Linked DNA regions of Rattus norvegicus. The protein of the gene in region 1 purifies or fractionates together with the protein of each later gene. This does not show direct contact. Links are inferred from orthologs where the notes say so. Each region holds a gene or a part of one and is shown on either strand. Other genes may lie near its edges.

Region 1 (3,747 bases):
AAGGAGTGTGTGCTTTTAAAAGGTGATGCTGTCTAAAGCTTCTTCACTGTGCCAGTTCCTCAGCCTTCTCTCTCCTCACAGTGTCTCATCCTACTCTTTAACCTTTCCCCTAGACCGCCCAGAATGCTGGTGCCGAGACTCAGCCACTGATGAACAGCTATTCAGGTGATGACAAGGAACCCACGGACAAAGAGAGGGATTCTAGACACCAGGCAGTTGGGGCAGGAGGCATGGGCCTGGGGGAAGGAGGGTGGTGTAGAACTCCGGACTGTGGGCAACATACCTTCTCTGTCAGGTGTGAGCTGTCAGTGGAAAAGTCCACAGTGCTGCAGTCTGAGCTTGAATCCTGTAAGGAGCTGCAGGAACTAGAGCCTGAGAATAAATGTAAGATCCTCCCGTGAGCCAGCTCCTGAGAACTACGTGGAGAAAGCCCGTCCCGGGAACCTCCTTGAGCAGAGAGTCTTCAAGAGACTGTAAACCTCTCTCCGTCCTCTCCCTAGGGTGCCTGCTGACCATCATCCTGCTGATGCGAGCACTGGACCCCCTCCTCTATGAGAAGGAAACACTGCAGTACTTCAGTACCCTCAAAGCAAGTTGGACCTGGGGGAGGACAGGCCAGGGGAGGCCCAGTGGGCCATTAGAAGGCAGGTTGGACTGGAGAGGTGGCTCAGTGGTTAAGAGCACTGACTGCTCTTCCAGAGGTCCTGAGTTCAATTCCCAGCAACCACATGGTGGCTCGCAACCATCTGTAATGAGATCTGATGCCCACTCTGGTGTGTCTGAAGACAGCTACAGTGTACTTACATATAAATAAATAAATCTTTAGAAGGCGTAACTGCCTGCTTCTTCCCCACCAGGCTGTGGACCCAATGAGAGCAGCTTACTTGGATGACCTGCGCAGCAAGTTCTTGCTGGAGAACAGTGTTCTCAAGATGGAGTACGCTGATGTACGCGTGCTGCACCTGGCTCACAAGGTACGGACTCAGCGTGGGCTGCTTCCCCTGGCCCCTTCCTCGCTGCTGTCTCCCCACCAGGGTGACTCCACCATCTTTCTTTTAGCCTGCTCCTTCATTAGGCCTTGCTTCCTGTCAGTCAGTTCTTCATCCTGCTTGTTCCCTTGTTTTAAATCCTGAACCATCAAAGCTCATTGGTAAGGCCCTGGGTTCAATTCCCAGGGCTGAAAGCAAATTTCTTTTAAAGGCCTTTTACCACCCATCCGTGCATTCCTGTGCTTCTACATTGTTTCTAGAGATTTTTGAAAGCTGCCCAGGCAGCGCTTTTCGTGTCTCTAGTCATCTTAACAGATCCGTTTTGCCTCGTCACTGCGGCCCAGCACAAGCCCACTCCTACCTTTCTGTTTGCTCTAGGACATGCCGCTATCCTCTGCCCCACACTTGAGGTTTCCTCTCCCTGTCTCCTCTCACTAGCCACCCCTCCGTAACCCTGTCTGTCTGTCCCCGTCCCTGACATAGCATGTGGATCTGGCTATTTGTTTCTTACACGCGGCCAGCCTCTGACAAGGGTCTTGTAAGGTCCGTATGGAACGCAGAGCAGGTGGCTAAAGATGTCCTAGCTCTTGCCGAGTTTTTCCCCCTCCCCCCAACTCCTAGGATCTCACAGTGCTCTGCCACCTGGAACAACTGCTCTTGGTCACTCATCTTGACCTGTCCCATAATCGACTCCGAGCCTTACCCCCAGCCCTGGCTGCTCTGCGCTGTCTTGAGGTAAAGTATGCATCCCTTCCATTCTGTCTGGGGTACCCCTTTTCCACTCAGAAGTTTGCCTATGTTACAGCAGGACCTCCTGACCTCTGACCCCTGCAGGTAACCACTTCGCCAGCCCCCTTGACTATATAGCCTGGCCCTGTGAGCTTTTTCGCACACCTAAGCTGGTCACTCTGGGCTCCTCCATGGCTTATACTGGTCCCAGGCTGCCTGATTGACCTTGTGTTTCCCCATCTCCCTGCTCCTCAGGTGCTGCAGGCCAGTGACAATGCCCTGGAGAACGTGGATGGTGTGGCTAACCTTCCCCGGCTACAAGAGCTGTTACTATGTAATAACCGTATCCTCCCTCAGTCTCCTTTGCAGACAGCTACTAGGGCAGAGAGCAGGCTGTAGGGGGACAAACCGCAGACACAGACAGCAGACAGCTCACAGGGCAAGGAGCAGGCTGCAGGGGGATAAACCACACACACAGGCAGAATCATCTCCAGGCAGGACAGGAAGCAGGGCTTGGGCAGGGTGAGCTGAAAGGGGAGATGATAGCCTGGGGCTGTCTGTGACTATTATTAACTTTTACTCTGGAGTTCTGTGGAGTGTGGCTTCCACAAGCCAGAGTTCACAGGCAGGCAGCTGTAGAGATTCTTAGGAACCACACAGTAGTCTAGAAATCGGGAAGTTCCATATTTTTTAAAATTCTTTGATCTCTCTTGAAAATGGAGGGTTAGGGGGTTGGGGATTTAGCTCAGTGGTAGAGCGCTTGCCTAGGAAGCGCAAGGCCCTGGGTTCGGTCCCCAGCTCCGAAAAAAAAGAAAAAAAAAAAAAGAAAAGAAAAAAGAAAATGGAGGGTTAGAGCATCTTTGACCCTCATTTACATGTAGCCACTTAACAGCCCTCTCCACCTCTTTTTTTTTTAAAGATTTTATTTATTATATATGAGTACACTGTCACTCTCTTCAGACAACACCAAAAGAGGCCATCAGATCCCATTAGATGGTTGTGAGCCACCATGTGGTTGCTGGGATTTGAACTCAGGACCTCTGGAAGAGCAGTCAGTGCTCTTAACCCCTGAGCCATCTCTCCAGCCCTCCGCCTCGCTTTATGATCACACAAGGACTTGCTTCCCACAGCCCCCTCTTCAGCCAGATGTTCTACAGTGCCTGCTGAGGCTTTATCCTCCCCAGGAAGCCTGTCAGACACCATCAGACTTGCTTCCTAGTGTCTGCTGAGGGATTTATCCTCCCAGGGAAGCCCGTAAGACACCATCAGACTTGCTTCCTAATGTCTGCTGAGGGATTTATCCTCCCCGGGAAGCCTGTAAGACACCATCAGACTTGCTTCCAAGCAGCAGCTTCTAGCTTTGGGGTGTCCAGTGGCAGAGAATGGGTGGGGTAGAGCTACTGAGCCTTCCTTGACTCTACTGCCCAAGGCCTCCAACAGTCTGCAGCAATCCAGCCTCTTGTCTCCTGCCCCAGGCTAGTCCTCCTCAACCTGCAGGGCAACTCGCTGTGCCAAGAAGAGGGCATCCAGGAGCGTTTGGCTGAGATGCTACCGTCTGTCAGCAGCATCCTCACCTAGGAGGCCCTGCCTCATCCTCACCTTTAACTTACTGGGACTGAATAAAGTGTGGAGAGGCCCCTCTACCACTTGACCGCTGCCATGACAACACTACCTCCATTACCACCACTGTTTTGAAGAAAGGAAGGGAGGGGCTCTGTGGTGAGGGTCTACTGCCCTGTGATACTCTCTACCCAGAGCCTCTGTGTTCATGTCTGGTCAGGACCACAGCTGGATTTGAGTTCATCATCAGTTTTGGGGCTGTCATGGGAGCCTAGCTTGAGACTGGGATAGAAATCGGGCTCGGGTTATGATTTGGGCTGAGCCTCAGAACAGCTGTCTCTAGCTGGAAGAGACTGTGAACCTTTCTCTCGTGAGTCTGCCAACTTCAGACTTTGTGTCCTGACCCCTGCTTCATTCACAACGGAATAGGCTCAGGACCTCAGTGTTTGAGAAAGAATGTGTCAGGGCA
Region 2 (3,747 bases), on another chromosome or scaffold:
GAATGTTCAGTGCAGCAGGGTATCAAACTATCTCAGCTGATTATTGAAGAACTTGGAGATGCGCTGAATCTAACACAGTGGGAGGGGCGAACACTCAATTCAGTTTCCACAAATCAGTCATTAGCGCCTATGACAGCTTCAGGTGCGTGGAGCTCGGGACATTTTTCTCTTGTGGGTAGTCGTTGGGGACTGCAGTGGAGACAGGGAAAGCAGGCCTAAAGAAGTGGTGCTCACAATCTATATTTGACTTGTACTATATTTGCATTGCTGCTGGGGAAAGGTCCAGTGGAAAATGTGTGCTGTTCTAAATATATCCTCTCTATACCGGCTAGATTTGGACTGAAGCCTTGGGGGCACTGCTCAAGAGATCACCTCCAAGGAAGCTCTTGGACAGGATTGTGTATCAGGATACTCCTACTGCAGACTGAGAAGGCTTGGGATCCAATGGGAGGGTGACTTGGGTGTCACTCTGATGCTATTTTCTTCCTTTTTCTGGGGCTCTGAGAGGGGCACCTCAGCATACTGTCACAAACTCTGGGACATATCATCTTCCAGCTCTAGAGTAGTTGAGTCTCAGCCTGCTGCTTTTGTTTGTTTGTTTGTTTTGACCTCAGTTTCCCTGTTTGTAAGATCGTTTCGCTGCCTCGGGCATTTCATTGTTTTGTTTTCTTTCTGTTGGGTGTATGAGGTGGGGGTGGGTGTTGTTATAGCTTCACAGGAAAAAGTATTTCATTCAGCATGCTCAACTGAATTAAGCGCAGGCGTTTATAAATATTTATGAATGAATGTATGCTAGGATGATTGACTTAACAGGTGAATGGATGAGATGCTTTCAAGCTGGTTGAGGGGAAATGAGCAGTGAGGACCCGCTGTGGCTTATTTAGCTCGGTAAAGGAGTTTACTTTCTTTTTTTTCCCCTGTACGGTCTCTTCCCGCTTCCACTATGGCTTAAGGGTTAAGGAAGAGGAACAAGAGCTGACTAGACTCCAAAACTTGCCTCTGCAGGTTACAGAATGCGCCTGGGAGGTGGGAAGGGGTGGAAGAGGCGGGCCCCAACTAGGAGGCGGAGTCAGAGGTTCTCAGAGGGCGGGGCCGTACCCTCGAGGGCGGGGCCAAGAGTGTGAGTCGGGGGGCGGAGTAACGGGAGATTCCGGGAGGGAGGAGCCGCAGGCGAGACTGCGGAAGAGCCTTAAGGGGGCGGGGCCAAACGGCTGTTGTTGGGTGGGGCCGCAAGATTGAAGGGCGTGGCGTCGATGGAGGTCCAGTGTAGTGCTTGCTAGTGGGGCGCGGGACTCACGCGGGAGGGCGGGATCTCAAGAACGCTAGGGGGCGGAGCTTCGTGCGGTGGGCGGGGTCCTAGCACTGAAGGGCGGGGTCTCGGGTGCGCGCGGGCTGGGCGGGCCTGGCGCTGCTCCGAGGCACAATGGCCTGAGCTGCAGCCTGAGCGTGAGCTCCACCCGGTTCGCTGCGTGGCGGGCAGCCGGGCGCACGGAGCCCTCTCCCTCACGGCGCGTCGGCGTCGGGCCATGTACTCGGGGAACCGTAGCGGCGGCCAGGGCTACTGGGAGGACGGGGCGGGCGCCGAGGGCGCAGCACCGGCCGGCACGCGGAGCCCCGCGCCTCTCTTCAGCCCCACCGCGTACGAGCGCCTGGCGCTGCTGCTCGGTTGCCTCGCGCTGCTGGGCGTCGGCGGCAACCTGCTGGTGCTGCTTCTCTACTCCAAGTTCCCGCGACTGCGCACGCCCACCCACCTCTTCCTGGTCAACCTCAGTCTGGGCGATCTGCTGGTATCCCTGTTCGGAGTCACCTTCACCTTCGCGTCGTGCCTGCGGAACGGCTGGGTGTGGGACGCCGTGGGCTGCGCGTGGGACGGGTTTAGCGGCAGCCTCTTTGGTGAGTCGCCCGGGACGGGTTCTCCTCGCCTCTCAACTTTCCCTGGGTACCTCAGCTCTGGGCTTCCGTCCTTCCCGGGATCGTCCCTGATAGCCAGTCATCACCCACAACTCCCTGTCTCTCCTCCTCGAGAACCTCCCTTCATCCGTAACCCTCTTCTCTCTTCTCCCAGGAATTCTCCCTTCCACCAGGTCTTCCTCCCCAACTCTCTTTCTCTTCCGCCCCCTCCCTCGGGTCTACACAGCCTTCCTCCCAGCCAGTCATCAACCTCGGCTCCCCATCCCTCTGCAGCACTTAACAAAGTCTCCCTGCTGCCGATCACCTTATGTCCTCTCATCTGTTTTTACTTCCTACTGTAGCTCAACAGGGCATCTCACAGTGGGGGAAAGAAACCAGGGCCTGTAGAGTCCAGAGATGCAAGAAAAAAGTCAACTCTTGAAGAGTGGAGGCGGGGACAAGGAAAGATTTAATTAATAAATGAAGTATTTGTTTCTTAAAGTGACACGTAGAATCCTAAATAACGCAGCATTTTTACCCCCTTTCACTCGTTAGCAATTCTAAACGGTTGAATGCTTCCTAGGGAGTGAGACTGTATTATACTTTTTTTTAATTGTATTCCCTCCACATAGGTTCTGTCACACCAGAGGTTACAAAGGGCTCAAAGAATTCCAACTCACTCTTGCGAATAAATAATTAGCAGGGCAGCCAGTACGTTTAATTAAAGTAGAACTTGTTGATTTCTTGAAGATTTATATTGAGAATTGACAGGTTGAAGGTTGACTAACCCAGGATTCTAAACCTGAGAAAAACGTGTGTGTGTGTGTGTGAGAGAGAGAGAGAGAGAGAGAGAGAGAGAGAGAGAGAGAGAGAGGAGAGAGAAGAGAGAGAGTCTGTGTGTATCTGTCCTAAGGATTTTGTTTGTACAACGACTTACAATAGAAATGGATATTACTTAAGGCTTAAAGTCCCTTTTTACAAACCTTAAAACACATTGATAATTTACTATTACCTTGATCTTGGCAGGTCTTAGAGAAAATCATCTATGTCATATCCCGGAGATGTATGACAAACCCAAATCTCAGAGTATTTGTCATGATTCCCTTTTTAAAGTTTTAAAATAAAATTTAGGAGTTACGGTGGTTTTTTTTTTCCCCCACTACTTGACAATTCTGATACTTTCTTATTCTCTCCCCCCTAATAAACATTCATCTAAGGACTTCCTTTATATAACAGTATTGAACCCTGAGAAAGGTCCGTAAGAGGATATGAGTGGTACATAGGTTGTCTATGTGATTATTCTGTTACCTAAAAATGTTCGTTGGGAGGGTTTTTTAGGCAGATTAATCTTTAAACAAGGTGATGTGTCAGGAGCCTAGCTTGCAGAACCCCTTGGGCGGGCGACAGGTGTTTGAAGACATTAAAGTCCTTTTTTTCTGTGAAGTACTTTTCTGTGCTGTGGTGTTCAGTGTCTCCATCTGGGGCTGAGAAAACAAGACTGGGTTGAGTTTTTCTTATGTCTGCAGCACCCTGTCTCTCTCTGGCTTGCTCTGCCAAGCTTATCTTCCAGAATCCTCTCTGTCCTTTCTTCCCCTTCTGAATTCCTGCTGGGGTCTGTCAGCATCAGAAGAGATTTCTTTAAAGACTACAAGAAACATCCACCCCGGGTGTTTTACTGGACAGTTCCTTTATTCAGGGCATCTATTAGGACTTTGAATCATGGCCTTTATTCCCATCCTAAAACCCGATGTAGGTCTTGTGGGATTAGAGGATTGGAAATAAGTTACTTCTTGGAGACAAGTCTAGAGTGAGATTGCTGCAGATCTTAACAGCATAATTAGCAAATGATTTCTTTTC
Region 3 (3,747 bases), on another chromosome or scaffold:
GTGCATATGGTGCCTCAGGAGGCCAGAAAAGAATTCCCTTGGAATTAGAGTTATACAAGGTTGTGAGCTACCATACAAGCATAGGGAGCATAGGAATAGAATCTGGTCCTGTAGTAGAGCAGTCTGTGATCTTAAACATTGAAGTACATTTGTAGCTTCCCCTTTATTTTATTATTTTTAACTGATACGTAAAGTTGTGCATAATTACATGGAATCATGTGTTCTTTAGAAACACATACATCACTTAATGCTTTAATAATATTAAGTGTATCCCTTATTTGTTATTAAGCATGTTACCTAGAGGTTGAGAAGATTATTCATTGTTGAAGGAAGAGCTAATGTGGGGAGGTCATAGAGATTAAGAAGGAAACAATGTATGGAGAATGATAAGTAGCTGAGACTGTAGATAGTATAAAGGATTGTTATTTTGAAACTCTCGAAAAATAGCTATAAAAATGATTCCTTGGATTAAAAAGTACTTTACTCACTACAGTGTACCCCATTGCCTATTTTTGCTTTACTATTTTCAGACAAATGTGTTTTAAATAAGGTAGAGTGTGAGCTGACAGACCTTGAAAATACTCATGAGAGTTATATTAACTGCTTGACATAGACAGTCTTAAGCTCCCTTATCAAATATGCCCACTTCCATATTAAATCTATTTAATGTTAATCATTTCTCCTCAACATTGCAGGAGAAACTTGTATGCGTTCTCCTTATTTTGGCAGAAAATCAGATTCTGAAACAAAAGATTTATAAACCATCTACTATTCTTTAATACTCTTTCACACTCCCCCATCCCCCACTCTCACTGCCATCTCTAAAGCAAAGTTAATGTTGTAACTTACTTTGCTAGGCGGCAATTTGAAATTCTGTGAGGAATTCTATTCTGTGGAAACTAGGCAAAGAGTTTTTTGTTTGGTTCTATTCTCTCTGGGAAGGCACAGAGACAAAAAGACAGTATTGGTATAAAGTGAAAAGAGATTCCTCAGGTTCTAAAAATGCAAATACAGACATGCTAGGGGAAACAGTTTTCCTGGCTTGAATGATTCATTTGTTCAAAGTGAGCCCCTTTGAATTTCACTACTGCCTGAGCATCTCTGATCAATTTTTGCTTGGTAATTGTCAAAGGGGTATACAAACTTTCCTCATTCATCCTTGCTTGAGGAGTCGAATAATTACGTTTCATTTCCATATCAAACTGCTAGGATAAGTAAGGTATATCACTGAAGTCTGTGAAATAAATCTAGCTTTTACCATTTGCATTAACATTTTAATGCTACTCTGTTGTCGCCTACCTGCACCCGCTACCCTAAAACTACAACACCCAGAATGCACTGTTTTTCCTTCCGCTTTCTACCTAGGTAGTGCCTTAGAAATTCACAGCTACAAACTACAGTCACATGACACGTTTCCTGTCAAGATGGCGGATAATCTCCCTTCGGACTTTGATGTGATCGTAATAGGGACGGGTATGTGTGGCCCTGATTTTCGCTGGACAAAATATAGAAAATAATTCTCGCTTTTTATTTTCTCTGTCAGTGGTGAGGGTTGGCAAGAAACGGCGGGGGTCGAGCCTGGGAGGGAGGACAGAAAGGAAGTGAGGTAGTCTGGAGTCAGCGCGGGACTTGGCAGCTCCAGGGAGGGGCTTGGACCCGCGGTGTTTTGCGCCATTTGAGTAGGGGTCGATCTGGTCGATGCCGATTGCTGAGGTTGGTTGCTGTGGTGATTCCTGTTAATTTCCTTAGAGGAAGGTGGGTTTGCAGTGTCATGACAATGGAGGATCGGGATTTGATCAATGGAGACGCCGTTGGCACAAATAATTGCCACCTTCCCTCCTTGTTGATTTCAAGGTTATATTCCCCATCGTTTCAGGTCGCCATTTCATAGAACGCCCCCCTCCCCCCGCACGCCCCCATATACTTACATGAGCTAGGGTACATTGCAGCTCAGATGCAGCCTAATTTGCAGTTTTATAAAAATGATACTCAGTCGTTACACGTGTGTATTTTTACTAAAGGAAAGAAAAAGTACTCTTCCCTGTTGTGTTGAGTAGTTAAGTATTTTTTTTTTCTTGAGGTTCCTGCATTACGAAGTTTAAAGCATCCTAGTTCATAATGCAGAAAGCATCTTGTTTTCTGTCACCTATTAACACACCACAACTAGATGTGCTGAGAGTAAGCTCCAGTGTTCCACAACCCGTGTCTGAGCTCAGCTTCCCCTAGCTCTTCCATCATTTGTTCTCCATGTTTTGGGTGGAGCCAGAAATCCTTTTCAGCTTCTAGTTGACTAGTTAATCCTATAATGCTTGGCGACAATTAGCTATTCTTATCTTAACTGTAAGTTTGCATAGGATAAAAGAGATAGTTTGGGGAGGGGGGCGGATTCTACTGTCTTAGAATATGCTAGGCCATAGAAGCTTTGGTCATTGGGATCTTGTCTGTTGTGTTAATGAATTCTGTTTGCTTTCTTACCAAACAGTAAGAACAGCTATATTTTCAGGTTTAGAGTAAAAGTGATAGCAACCCATTTTCTAATACTTACCGTTCCCTAATCAATGAACTTAAGCACTTCATATAATCCGGTCAAAAACCTTGGTAAAATTGGTATCCTTTTCAGTACACAAAAGAAAAGAAGCAGCTTGGAAGTCTAACTTGCCAAAATCACACAGCTAGTAAATGTCCAGTGGCTAATACCATCCAAGAAATGGAATTCAGGGGTTTTTGTTTGTTTTTTGTTTTGTTTTGTTTTTGACTCAAATTTGAACTATGTTATCACAAATACCAGGGAAACCTGCTCTAGATTATGCAATGGGAGGGTCTCAAGCGGTTCAATTTCTACCATTTTGAATATAAGGAAGGTAACTCAGATAGCCTTTAAGGTATTATCCAGAACACAGATTCTCATATTCTAGATGTACCTGGGTAAGTTGTTCTCAGAACAGTGGGGGTGTGTTTGCTCCCAGCCTGAAGATAACCGCTGAGCAGCTAACCTGGTGCTTCCTGGAATGAGCAGATGTTAAAGGAGAGCTTGAAAGATGAAGTAGAACGTTCAGTTTCCCCAGTGTGCCTGCCTAAAACCGAAAACGCCATCCATTTTAGAATAAGTCTTTTTTAAATTATACTTGGAGTCTCTGTATTTATTTGGGTGATGTGTTATTTTTCTTAGCTATTTTAATTCTTTTAGATACATTAAAAGTGAAAACATTTGTTGAAAGTCATTTTTTAAATAAAATCATTCTTAAGATTTCAATCATTGCTTTTAATTGGCTTCGTTATTGAAACATTGTGATTTCCTTCTCAAATACATTGCTAAGGGTAGACTTTAAATGTGTTGACTGTATTAAATTTGCACTTAGGAAATTTGTAGGTAAAGCAGTGTTTTATAACTTGGGTTCTGTTATCAAAAGCATAATGAAGCATGTCATTATAAGAAAGAGCTGTGCGTTGTAGCTCCCTTTTAACAACTGTTTAGTTAAACTGTCATCAGAAGACAATTGCTTCATCATGTAGCATCATCTAAGAATGCTTTAAAAGTTTATCAACCTTAAATAATGTGCATCTTTACTTTTTGCATGGCATGGATTAAAGTTTCCTTTAAGGTCATAGTTTCAAGATATGGGAAAATTATATCAGAATACCTAAAGGAACAGAATTAAGATACAGTACTTGAATTGTGGGGGGAAAGATTAAAAAAAAGATTAAAGAGGGAAAACCAATTGGAATCTTGGTGGGGAAGAAAATGGA

What was found.
Region 2: the proteins of Rabggta (region 1) and Chml purify together in Homo sapiens (co-immunoprecipitation; 3 studies listed by BioGRID and IntAct, counting the BioPlex papers as one, with this or other methods). This does not show direct contact. The link is inferred for Rattus norvegicus from reciprocal best matches to the Homo sapiens genes RABGGTA and CHML.
Region 3: the proteins of Rabggta (region 1) and Chm purify together in Homo sapiens (co-immunoprecipitation; 4 studies listed by BioGRID and IntAct, counting the BioPlex papers as one, with this or other methods). This does not show direct contact. The link is inferred for Rattus norvegicus from reciprocal best matches to the Homo sapiens genes RABGGTA and CHM.

Annotation. Positions count from the first base shown.
Region 1 is NC_086033.1:33,176,554-33,180,300, reverse strand, and holds the end of Rabggta (geranylgeranyl transferase type-2 subunit alpha), read left to right. Parts: coding exon 1-22; intron 23-113; coding exon 114-165; intron 166-295; coding exon 296-384; intron 385-500; coding exon 501-589; intron 590-857; coding exon 858-974; intron 975-1,610; coding exon 1,611-1,724; intron 1,725-1,973; coding exon 1,974-2,061; intron 2,062-3,147; coding exon 3,148-3,296; 3' UTR 3,297-3,374; downstream 3,375-3,747. UniProt on the Homo sapiens protein: Catalyzes the transfer of a geranylgeranyl moiety from geranylgeranyl diphosphate to both cysteines of Rab proteins with the C-terminal sequence -XXCC, -XCXC and -CCXX, such as RAB1A, RAB3A, RAB5A and RAB7A.
Region 2 is NC_086031.1:90,149,771-90,153,517, reverse strand, and holds the start of Chml (rab proteins geranylgeranyltransferase component A 2), read left to right. Parts: upstream 1-1,420; 5' UTR 1,421-1,526; coding exon of another isoform or gene 1,527-1,893; intron 1,894-3,747. Other genes in the region: Opn3 (opsin-3), read left to right, coding at 1,527-1,893. UniProt on the Homo sapiens protein: Substrate-binding subunit (component A) of the Rab geranylgeranyltransferase (GGTase) complex. Binds unprenylated Rab proteins and presents the substrate peptide to the catalytic component B.
Region 3 is NC_086039.1:82,551,869-82,555,615, reverse strand, and holds the start of Chm (rab proteins geranylgeranyltransferase component A 1), read left to right. Parts: upstream 1-1,572; 5' UTR 1,573-1,755; intron 1,756-3,747. UniProt on the Homo sapiens protein: Substrate-binding subunit of the Rab geranylgeranyltransferase (GGTase) complex.